Macaca fascicularis: one gene and its partners. The protein of the gene in region 3 interacts with the protein of the main gene of each other region in a pairwise test. Links are inferred from orthologs where the notes say so. Each region holds a gene or a part of one and is shown on either strand. Other genes may lie near its edges.

Region 1 (4,058 bases), on a different chromosome or scaffold from region 3:
AAGATTGGTCTTGATATATTTTTCAGGCTTCTGCATTCTGGCAAACCTCCTGATGCCACCCAGATACATGACTCATACCAAGAAACTGACTCTACTAGTCCTATGACTCTCACCTAGACAACTGACTCAGCACAGGAAGACAGTTTGGAAACACCTATAAATTCATCCCCAACCAATCAGCAGCACCCACTCCCTACCCACCTGCCCACAAAATTATCCCTAAAAACCACAACCTCCAAGCTGTCAGAGAGGTGGATTTTAGAAATATCTCCTATCCTGCCACTCAGCTGCCTTGCCTCCATTAAACTCTTTCTCTGCTGCAACTCCTGCATTCTCGATGTTTGGCCTTTCTGGGAAGCGGGCAAGAAGAACACGTTGGCCTGTAACAGGAGAATAAATAAGAGTTTGGCAAGCAACAAGAGGGTGCAGGTATTCTGTGCAGAAGGAATTGCAAGTGCAAAGTAGAAAGAGGAGGCATACTACCAGTTTGAAGTTGCTTGGTATGTTCAATGAAAAGCAAGTAGCTAAAAGGCAAGATAATTTTTTATAAAAAAAAAAAAAAAAAAGGTATGGAAAAGGAAAGGCAAAAGCTAGACAGAGAAGTGCTTGTTCATGGAGGAATTTGTGTGCCACTCTAGACATTTTACTGTAGGAAATGGGGATTCTAGAGTTTTAAGGAGGTGAGTAAATCAACAGGCTGGGTTTTTAAAAATTCCTTCTTGTGGCAGAGAAAATAATGGATTGGAGAATTTCCAGACCAGACTGTAAAAGTCACTATTAAAATAATCAAGAAATGAGGAGATGACAAACTAAAATTTGATCTAGTGACCAACTGAATATGGGAGAAATAGGAAAGGGAGGAATGTAGGATAACTCTGATTTCTAGTTTAGGTTACAATATAGTAGTAGCAGTATTTAACTTGGTGAAAATAGGAGAAACCAGGAGGAAAGATAGCAAGTTCAGTTTTGGTCATATTAAGTTTGAGGGACCTTTGAGACAGATGTGTCCGGGAAGCAACTGAGTTAGGCATTAGTAGATCTGAGAGAAAAATTGAAATTTAGAAGCAAAATCAAAGGTGTTAATAGAATCCATGTGAGTGGACAAAATCACCCAAGGAAAATGTCTAGACTAAGAAATGAAAGTAATTAAGGAGTGAATTCCAAAGAATGACATTCAAAAACCAGGCACAGCCAGTAAAAGGAATTAATGACTATGAACCTCAGTTGTCACAAACAGACTAAGCGATATAAATTTTGAGAAGTAATTACTGTATTTGGCATTTAAAAGGCCTTTAGAAACTTAAGCAAGAACAACTTTCTTGAAGGCATTAAAGAAGCCAGACAAAAGACTTTTGTCTGTTTGATATAAGTAAAAATAATATCCTTTCAATAAGTTTACTGATAGATAGGAGGACTGGGAAATAACTGGATAAACACAGGATGGATGACATGGTTTTGCTTTATTTAATTTTCATAAGATGTGTGACTTGAGCACTGAGTAGAAGGAACTGAAGAGGAAGAGGCTGAAAGCACAGGAAAGAAAAAAGACAACTGGAAGCGAAATGTAACAGATGGAAGCAAATGAGATCAAAAGCAAAGATGGATGGATTATCCTTTAATATCCCTTTCTCTACACTAGAAATACAAGACTAAAGGCTTGGCAAAAATATAGATCAGTGTGTAGGTTGGGGGCATGAGGTTGAAGAATTGTTATACTCCATCATGTTTAGAAAGGAGAAATGAGAAGGGCAAAAGACAGGGTTTATAAATGGAAGGTTTGAAAATGTCTTTACAGAAAATGGGGCAGGGGAAAACTGGGGTAACCAAAAGGATTGCTGAGTAGTATGAAGAAACAAGGGGTGATGGGTGGGGGCTCTGTTTCTAAATTCGTAGCTATAACTATCTAAAGATCTTTCTATCTTCCAGTCCATTATCCATAAGTGCTTAAAAGACACGATAGTTAAGTGAATTAACTAGAACCCTGGTACTCTCAAACATGTGGGTGAATTAAAATCACCTACAGGTTTATTTAAAATGCAAATACCAAGCCCCATTCCTTTCATTCAGAATTTCCAGGGGTGAAGTCCAAACAGTGAATTGCAGAAGCTCTCCAAGCAATCCCAGGAGAAATTTCTGTTTAAAAAAAAAAAAAAAGAAAGAAAAAAAGAAGAAGAAGAAGAAAGAAAAGAAAAGCAAGCACAGACCTAGAAGGTAAGCAACTGGACAGACGAGAGCTGATCCAACATACATCTGTTAATGGCCCTCGTGGGGGCGTGGGGCAGTGCTCTGCCACTCAGAAAAGCAAAAGGACTCCAAGATCTAGGGAGATTCAGATCAGTGTTGAGACAGTCACATACACACCACCCCACACTCTTAATAAAGCGCGTTAATGTGAATCTGTGAGCATGAAAAATGCCACGATGAACAATGAAAACACATAATGTTGTTCAAAACAGGTGATTAGACTCGATGCCTTACCCTGAATTTTCTGTTTCATTACTCTAGAGACTTAGTAGCATCAGTGGAATTCAGGGTGCTGTAAGAAATACGGAGAGCGAGTAAACTGCAGTAACAGCCCATGGGAAGGGGGAAAGAGATAATGAGGAGAAGGTCGGGAGGACAGGACAACTTTAAGTGCCCATCCGCCCGAAGACTTGGAACGCTAAGTAGCTAGGACCCACAGCCGTTATTCTGACATCCCCTGGCACTCACCATTGTCTCAGGATCTCAGCACTAGAAAATAGGTATCGTTGAGACAGGAAGACACCACCACCAACACCATCATCCGGTTACTCAGGCAACAGAGCACCGCCCACTGTCGCACGGTGCGTGGGACGCCACCGCCCCACCTCTTCGTCCTTAGTGGCTGGGAGTAATCTCAGCTGCGTTCATCCAATCGACAGGCCCGCCCCTCCACGCTGTCGCCTGGGGCTACGAGACGCCGTTTTTCTGTTTCCGGCAGTTTTACTTCCGTTTGTTTAACAGCTGGCCCGGAAGTTTAAGTGAATCTGAGGCTTGGGCTCCAAAAGTTGCTGTACAGTATTTTATTTTAAAGTAGACATCTGTCCGCTTTCCACTTACGGAGGCCTTACAGTGTGTGTTCTGTGTTACTTGAGTTTAAACGCACTGCAGAATGTATTTACCCTTCTCTTTTGGAAACGTATTCCGGAAGCGAAACCCTGAGTAATCGGAAGTGGTTAGGAGTGAGAGAGCTCCTGGATATGTGGAGGGCCTGGGCGGGCCGGCTTCTGAATGGAAGAGGTCTGTGAGAAGTTAGCCTGGTGATACCGATCCGAAGAGCCTATGAAGTGAAGTCCCCTGAAATACGGAGAATAAGAATCTTACAGGTAAATCCGAGGACAAGCAGGTATAACTAAGGATGTTGGAAAGGGACGGAGGTCTGGCTGGAGCTTGGTGGCCAGTAGCTTTGGATTTAGGGAACGATTGTTGTTCCGGGAAGGCTTTTTCAGACAGGAATGGAACTTCGGTTTCGACTTCCCGGGACAGCAAAGGTTGACAGACTTGTCGCTTCCCGGCCTATCGCTCTCATACCTGCTCACTCCCCCTACTTACTTCTTCACCCCCTCACCTTCATTTGGCATTTGCCAGCACGCACTCGGTGTGCCTGTATGTTTCGCAGAGCAACTATCAAGGGCAGTTTCAGGGATCGTTACTCTTACGAAGGGTTTTTTGGATACCTCTTTTCGGAGCAATAGACTGTAGTGTAGAAAAGTTTGTGACTGTTAAGAAAGTTAGTCGTCGGGTTCACTAATTGAACTGAGTTGTATCTAGTACTGAGAGCGATCTTTTTTTGTAGTGACACCAGTTGTCATCTAGTGTACAGTTTGTCATATTTATATCATTGCAGTAGCATCACCTTTTTATATGTTTTCTAGTAAATCTGAGTCTGTACTGTAGGCAGTGTGTACATTTCTGAAAGCATGTGCTCAATATATGTTTCTCTTTTTACTTTTGGAGCTACACTATTTTAACTTTATTACCAAAAAAATATGAATTATGTTATCTTGAGTAATATTTTTTCTCGTTCGTTACACATC
Region 2 (4,250 bases), on a different chromosome or scaffold from region 3:
TCCAAGGAAACAGATAGATAAGATTGTTCACTGGAACCTTGTTTATAATATCTACCCCTTTAATATTCATTTTCACCTATCAGTATTTTCTATTTTTCCTATAATGATTTTTGGGGGAATTTTTAATTCTAAAAGAAACAGTACAAGCTTAACTTCCATTATAATTACCCTGTTTTCCTTAGTGGGTAGGCCAAGACAAGAAATGCTCTTTTACCTTGTTAATGATACCTTTGGGTACTTCTTGAGTAACTATGGTCTTTTTTGTTGCTTCTGGGTTGCTGCTCCTAAATTTCAAAGGAATCTTTCCTTGGGGTTCATTTTCATAATGAAATGTTTGTAAAGTGCCTTTCAGTACTTCAAAGATGGTGCTGTTTATCTCTTACTGGTTCCACCGTTGGGAAGGTAAAGAGATATAATATCCAGAAATCACTATAGAAAGTGCTCTATGTGTCACATTCCTGGCTTAGCAGTCTCACTTCTGTTTTGTTAAATGGAAACTCAAAAGTCCTGTTGAGTTGGCAAAGGGAAAACTCTCGGAACTAAACAGAGCCAAGCTTCCGGTATCCACTGAAAATGTCTGAGTGGGTACATGGATCATAATGTTCCTAAGAAGCCTCCTTCTTCCCCTGGGTTGAGGAGGAATCAAAAGTGTAATCGAGCTTCCTTGGAAGAGGGACTGACTGGGGATCCCACAGGAAAAGCTGGCAACAGCAGGTCAACTGCAAGGCTATGGGGAGGTATAGGTTGCAACAGGTGCAGTCCCAGTCAGCCTCCCCTCAGAGGCAAGACAACTTGCTGGGCACCATCTGGGGACCCTGCCTTCTCAGAGTAGCTACTTTGCTTTTGCCCCAGTTCTTTAATCAATAATCCACACTAAGAATGAACACAATGCATAAGCATCTAACTTGTGCAGGGAAACAGGGGCGCCTGCAACCCAGCAAGCGCACCCACAGGGTACTCAGGGCCATCCTAAGCCACTTGTTCGCGGGAACGTGGAAGAGGAACTGTGCTCTGGCCGTATCTGCGCTGCGTCCTCTGAGTCCTCTTTTTCTACAATGCAGAAAGGGTACTTGAGATTTAAACTTGGAGCGGTACTCAAAGCCAGAACTCCACGTTCATTCCGGAGTGAACCACCACACCACTATTTCCAGGCAACGTCAGGAGGCTTCCTCGTTATTTGCATCTCCGTTCTCTCTTTGGCGACTAGCCTGCCCTCCCGCCCTTGGAAACTTGTGGACTCGAGAATCTCAGCTTTCTGCCTATCAAAGGTGCCCCGATCCCCTCCCACTGCCCTAGCAGCAGCCCAGCCCCAACGCCTTTGGCTAGAGATTGAAATCCTCTGGAACCAACCACGGGACACTTTGGATTGGGGCGGAACACGATTCCACTGTCTCGAAAGCAGCACCTTCTCGGATTTGCGCCCTTTGCGGCGCGCCTGGGTTGAGATCTGAGAAATGCGCCCCGGGCCACAGGCAGCAGCGGAGGCGGGGAAGGAACAACTTTCCCTCCGCCCTCTAACCACAAGGGCGGGGTGGGGCGGCCTCGCTGGGGTCGGGCTCCTCCGCTTCCCCAGCTGGGATCCCCTGCCGGAGCTGGCATGGGGGCCGGGGAGGAGGACCAGAGGGGCTTCCTTCTCTCCCCAAGCCCTGCCAGATGTTGGAAAGGCAAACAATAGGCGAAACGCGGAGAAACAAAAGGCCATTCGCCACGATCTCAGTCGGCTGCGTCGCTAGGTCCCTGCGGGGAGGGTTAGGGGAAAGGGTCAGGAAAGAGGGCGAGGGGGAATCCGAGAGATTTAGGGTCTCTGGTACTTGTCAGGCGCCAGGGGTCTGCGCTTTACCCTCCCAGCAGGGGTCTGAAGGTGGCAAGGGGCAATCAAAGAAAAGTGGAAGGGTTTTCACCTTCTTCCCCAGTTCAGGGAAAGGGAGGGCTGGGATTCCAGATGTTTGACAGTTGTTGGCCCCAAAGTTAAGAGCGATTTGTATGGCCTTTACACGCTCCCCACCTCCATGAGGCATTGTCAGCCCCGGGGGCGACCTGGCTTACAGCGTGGAGTTCCCCGACGCTGCCCCAAGCCGAGACTCCTCCCTCAGGATCAGGACGCCCAAGCGTTGTCCCCCAGCCCGGGAGCACTTTTGTAAAAGTTTGTCTTCCCGCCACCCACAGCCCAACACGCACCCTGCATGCGTCCGCGGCTGGGGATGGGCTCGGAGACTTGCACCCCGAAAGAAGGACGATCTTATTGATTTATATCTTTTCAAATCAAGGCCACGGATCCCGGGGTGGAAAGTGGGCGACCCTAGTTCCTGCCGGGAAGTGCACACAAGGAGCCGGCCAGAAGCCCAGGCGCCGGCAGGGGTCTGAAGCAGACTCCAGCCCCGGAAGCCCGCGGCCGGCCGGCAGCGGGCCGGTCGGCCGCCTCCCGCACCTTCTTGCACACGCGCTCAGGTGCGCCCCGCACCTCGCCGCCCGCCTGGGTGAGGTCGGGGGCGAACAGCCACCGGGCTGCGCCGCCTCCCCTCGCTTGGAGCGGGTTCTTACTCACCGTGGGGTTTTACCTCCAGCCCAGGGCCCGGTCGGTTTCCTTCGCCGGGTCAGCTGCAGCCAGCGCGAGAGGAAAATGGTGAGCTCGGGGCAGGTGGGGCGTCGCTTCCCAATCCACTCAAGGGACTCTGCGGCCGGTGCGCGCGGTCCCAGCGAGCCAACCGGCGGACAGGCGAGAGCCTGGCTCCAGAGGCAGCCGCCGCCGCTCCGGAGCAGCCCCCACATGCACCCAGCGCGCCGCGCAGCCGGCCGGGGCTCGACCGTCTCGCGGGGACGCCGAGCGGGGACCCCTGGCGGCCGCCTGCGGAATGGCAGCTCCGTGGGGAGAAAAGTCGTCTTTGGGATCATCTTCCCTCCGGAAAGAGATGGGACATGACCAGTCCTAAGGGGGCTTCCAGCCTTGCAGAAAAGACACTGACTCGCGGGCCAGGGCAGTGAAGAAGGTGTCAGATCAGAAAGGATGATCTGTGGGTCTACCACGGCCACTTTCAAGGCACCTAGAGAGGGGGAAACGGTTTGCCTTCCCCAGAATTTTCTGATTGTTGAAAGATACCACGAACTGCCTGACACAGAGCGGAGCATCAATCATTGGAAAATACTCGGATTTTAGCGGATTTACTAGAGCACACTGGGAGTTATGGATGAACATAGATTTTAAAGTCCAACCCACAGCCCGCCACTCTCTACTTGTGTGGTCTTGGTCTGTCTACAACCTTAAAGCCTCGGTATTCTCCTCCGTAAATTGGCGGGGAGCAATATCACCCTTGCAGGGTGATGGTTACGGGTAAACTACATTTAAAACGTCTTTATAGTTCATAGTAACAGTAATCAAATATGAGCTTCCTGCCTTCTGCAGAAAAAGAATTGGGTCTTTCACATTTTTCTATTCCCCATATGATCACATCTTAGTGCATATTGGTTGAAGTGTACCAAATGACGAAGTACTGCATTTTACCATTCTTACTACACACTTCAAAGCGGTGTGGAAATACATTAAGTAGAAATTAAGATATATGGAGAAAACATCCCTCCTCCAAAAGAGGTTTCTGCAACTAACTACGAAGTGAGAACTTCTAAAATCACTTAAATCTTTTGCAATATCAAGTCATCTCAGATATTTTAAGAAACATTTAATAAATAGTCATGACTTAGTGATATCAACCCTGGATTAAATGACTCTAATTCTGTGTCATTTGTGTAATGTAAAGATATCGATTGTGAATATAAGACTCGAATATGAGAAAACTGCCAGATACAAAAACATAGCCCCTAAGCAATATTTCTGTTCATCACCGAGGAATCTCATTTCCAAACTGCCCCAGTTTTTAAGAGGATGAACATCAGAGTCAGACAGACCCATAGTAGCTGAGTCTAACCTTTCTGAAGCTCTGTTACCTCATCTTATAAAATAAGGATAATACAGGTATTCAATGAAGGAATACATACAACATGCTTAGGGTAACACCTGTCACATGGTAAGTGCTCCAGCGTCACCACCTGTCATTCTTTCCAGCATACTTCTCACCCCACACACATGTAGCCCCTCCCTCATGAGCTCAAGGGCCCCCATCATGTGTTATACTCATACACGCACAAGTTTCAGTGTCCCTTAAGATGTTATCTTCTGCAAATTAGGAACAGAAAGAATATTTTCAGGTAGTTTGGAATAGAATAAATAACATTCACATTCTTTGCCCAAGTCAGTA
Region 3 (3,511 bases):
TTTTTAAAAAATTTTATCAGGTTTCCCAATATTGCCTTTTAAGGTATTTTAAAGCTTTCCTTATTACTCTCTGTAATAAGGCATTTTAAATAACGGTAACATATATGCACATTTTTGAGATGATCTAGTGTAGTAGTTATAATCTGGGTATGACTCAGCTTTACTACTTACTAACGTGTGACCTTTGGCAAGTTATTTAATCCCTCTATTTCTCAGTTATCTATAAAACAGAGGTAACAATAATACCTAACTCAGGGTCATACAGAAGATTAAGTGGCATAATGCATGTAATCACTTAGCATGGTGATGTGTATACAGTAAACCTCTAACTGCTATTATAATTGAAGCTAAATGGACAAATGAAATACTGAGTCTTCTTGCCTATCAAGAAATGGAAAAACTATACTAAGACCTATGCTCTAGCTGAATATTCTTGGTGATTATATCTGGCACATACTATACCAAGACAAAGAAATCTCTTCCTTTGTCCATTTCATTATAAATCAGCTTGTTATTCATTTCCCTAATAGGTAAAATGAGCTATTATGCAGATCTATTTTCCCCTATATTACTTACATCTTTGACTACATACTTCTCAAGATTTTCAACTGTCTTTTCCTTAAGGGAGCCCTAGGGGAAGGAAAAAAAAAAGGCATTAAGAAAAGAACAAAATCAGTTTTTAACGTGTAGTTTATAAGAAAAATGGTGTTTACTAATCAACCCAAATTCTTTCTTTTTTTGAGACAAGGTCACCCTATTGCCCATGCTAGAGTGCAGTGGTGTAATCTCGGCTCACTGCAGCCTCAACCTCCCCAGGCTTAGGTGATCCTCCCACTTCAGCCTCCCAAGTAGCTGGGACCACAGGTCCACACCAACACACCTGGCTAATTTTCTGTATTTTTTGTAGAGACAGGGTTTTGTCATGTTGCCCAGGCTAGTCTTGAACTCCTGAACTCAAGCAATCCACCTGCCTCGGCATCACAAAGTGCTGAGATTACAGGCATGAGCCATCATGTCCAGCCCCAAATGCATTTCTTAAGGATTTATCAAAATAGAAAAGTGACAAACTAGAGAAGGCCAGAAAAAAGTAGCAGGTATGATTTGCTGCAACCCTGCCTCTAAAATTTGTCTTCAAAATATAAAACAGTTTCAAGTTTGAAATTAAAAGGCATTTCATATTTTATTCAATAGTTTATAATAAATGTAAATTTAATATTAATTAATGTTTGTAGTCAGGTGGGAGGTATCTGGACAAAAAAAAATGGACCACTGTCATCCACAAAGGATATGTTAAATATAATGTAATACACTAAAACCTCTTCTACGTTTGAGAAATGCAAACTAAAATAAAATCCAGAAGTCAAACACCATCGCTGAGGAAAGATCAACATTACCTCCAAGACCAAAGACAAGAACATATGTATTCTAGAGAGCTATCACTAGGGGGCAAATCCATTTTGTCTTTTTTTTTTTTTTTTTTTTTTTTTTTTGAGACGGAGTCTCGCTCTGTCGCCCAGGCTGGAGTGCAGTGGCTGGATCTCAGCTCACTGCAAGCTCCGCCTCCCGGGTTCACGCCATTCTCCTACCTCAGCCTCCTGAGTAGCTGGGACCACAGGCGCCTGCCAACTCGCCGGCTAGTTTCTTTGCATTTTTTAGTAGAGACGGGGTTTCACTGTGTTAGCCAGGATGGTCTCGATCTCCTGACCTTGTGATCCGCCCGTCTCGGCCTCCCAAAGTGCTGGGATTACAGGCTTGAGCCACCGCGCCCGGCCATTTTGTCTTTTTTTAAAAAAAGGAAATATTCTGCTCCATTTGGAAAGTTAATGCCAGGCCATAAAACACATGCCAGAAAGCGAGCAGGTGAAGCAGCAGCTTCTAGGTACCTTGTAATGAACCCAGTCAACAGCATCTCTTACATCCTGGAACATACTCCGGTAGGACATGAAGAGGTCCCCATCTTTAAATCCTGTCTCACAACTACAGAAAGATAAAAAGAACATGACAGGGGATCCAAAACAGGGCAATAAAATATATGTCAAAAATTTCCCAGGGGACCCAAAGGTTCCGTATCACATGGGTAAAGGCTGTGGCTAATGAGGAAAATAATTACTCCCTAATGAAAGTCCACTTTGACCACCAGAAATGGCTATAGTGTTCAACGGAATACAATAATTGTGAACAAATACAAAGTGATGGAAGAATATATTGAACGTAAGCTAAAAGGCCAAAGTTCAAAAAATATCAGGTTTATTTATCACGTTTTAGAAACAGGTTGAAGAAACATTTAAAACTTAAAATTGGTCATTTAGGTTCTTTCCACCCTGACTTTTCTGACACTGTCCCTAAGTACAAAGGTACTGTCCATTTTTTATTTAGCTCAGTGACTCAGCTTTCCACCAAATTTAGTGTCTTCAAGTAGATAAAGCCCAAAGAGGATATGAAGTTAGCCAACTCTGGCTAAACTTTCAGTATTGGCTATATAATTCTCCCTAAAGGAAGAGGATAACTTGTTTAAGACTTATGCAAAATTTTACTTCTGGTAAGATACACAGTATTTATTCCTTAATCAAATCTTGCCGGGCCTGGAAATGAAATTAAATTACCATCCCTGAATGGCTCCTGGGTAGCTGCTGTGAAATGAGTTGGGGGGTTTTAGTGTAATTCTGCTTGGACAGATAATCATCACACAAACCTCCCACTCAGTTGTCACAATTAGCACCTCTGCTGGCCGTCTTCATTCCCAGGAGAAGCCAATCAGAAGTGGTGGCTGCAGCACACTGGCAAGGAGAGGGGCCGTGTGGGAGGTGAGAGCCTGCATGGAGCTGCTGGTGCTGTCCCATCTCTCAGGCTGGCAATGTGGCATCTCTCACTAGCACTAAATTCACTTTAGAAAAGCAGAAAAGACCTACAATGGCCAGTTCTCTAAAACCCTGTGCATTAATTTAAAAAATCAATTGGAAAAAAAAAAATTATAGTATGTACATACCTGGTATATCTGGGACAATTAGTAAAAAAATCTACTAGGCAGGCCAACAGGTAGGTCTCTGAAAAATGAAGAACAGATACTCATAAGCTATAATGAAATAATTCAAACTTATTTCATTATCTCCCTTGAACAGAGACTAATGGTCACAGAAGGGAAAGCATCAGTATAAACAAGCATAGAATGAATCTACCTGGTAGGTTGAATAGTGTGTTCAGAATGTAAAATCTTTCAGTATCATCTCGCTGGATAAATTTATTTGGATACTGTTCTCTAGTTTCTGGTCTGAAAGAAAAATTTAAAAATTAAATGATTTTTAAAATAACATTATAATAATTGGGAAACAGCATTATTCAAAAATTAACTCAAATATTTTGATGGCTATGTGCAAGACAGGATTCCGAATATTAAGCATGGGTAGCTATGAAGATGAATGAGTTCAGGTTCCAGCTCTTTTTCAATTTTATTTTATTTTATTTTTAAGACAGAGTCTTGCTATTTTAAGTCCAGGCTGGACTTAAACTCCTG

Evidence for each region.
Region 1: the proteins of NT5C2 (region 3) and NME7 interact in binary tests that used the Homo sapiens proteins (3 or more experiments, as listed by UniProt). The two-hybrid records come from large-scale screens. The link is inferred for Macaca fascicularis from reciprocal best matches to the Homo sapiens genes NT5C2 and NME7.
Region 2: the proteins of NT5C2 (region 3) and MOB3B interact in binary tests that used the Homo sapiens proteins (3 or more experiments, as listed by UniProt). The two-hybrid records come from large-scale screens. The link is inferred for Macaca fascicularis from reciprocal best matches to the Homo sapiens genes NT5C2 and MOB3B.

Annotation. Positions count from the first base shown.
Region 1 is NC_088375.1:26,996,338-27,000,395, forward strand, and holds the start of NME7 (nucleoside diphosphate kinase homolog 7), read right to left. Parts: upstream 2,803-4,058; 5' UTR 2,716-2,802; coding exon 2,713-2,715; intron 2,537-2,712; exon of another isoform or gene 2,479-2,536; intron 1-2,478. UniProt on the Homo sapiens protein: Possesses an intrinsic kinase activity. Displays 3'-5' exonuclease activity with a preference for single-stranded DNA. Does not seem to have nucleoside diphosphate kinase activity.
Region 2 is NC_088389.1:71,440,900-71,445,149, reverse strand, and holds the start of MOB3B (MOB kinase activator 3B), read right to left. Parts: upstream 2,803-4,250; 5' UTR 2,546-2,802; intron 1-2,545. UniProt on the Homo sapiens protein: Modulates LATS1 expression in the Hippo signaling pathway which plays a pivotal role in organ size control and tumor suppression by restricting proliferation and promoting apoptosis.
Region 3 is NC_088383.1:112,136,637-112,140,147, forward strand, and holds part of NT5C2 (cytosolic purine 5'-nucleotidase), read right to left. Parts: intron 3,269-3,511; coding exon 3,177-3,268; intron 3,045-3,176; coding exon 2,987-3,044; intron 1,978-2,986; coding exon 1,884-1,977; intron 631-1,883; coding exon 577-630; intron 1-576. UniProt on the Homo sapiens protein: Broad specificity cytosolic 5'-nucleotidase that catalyzes the dephosphorylation of 6-hydroxypurine nucleoside 5'-monophosphates.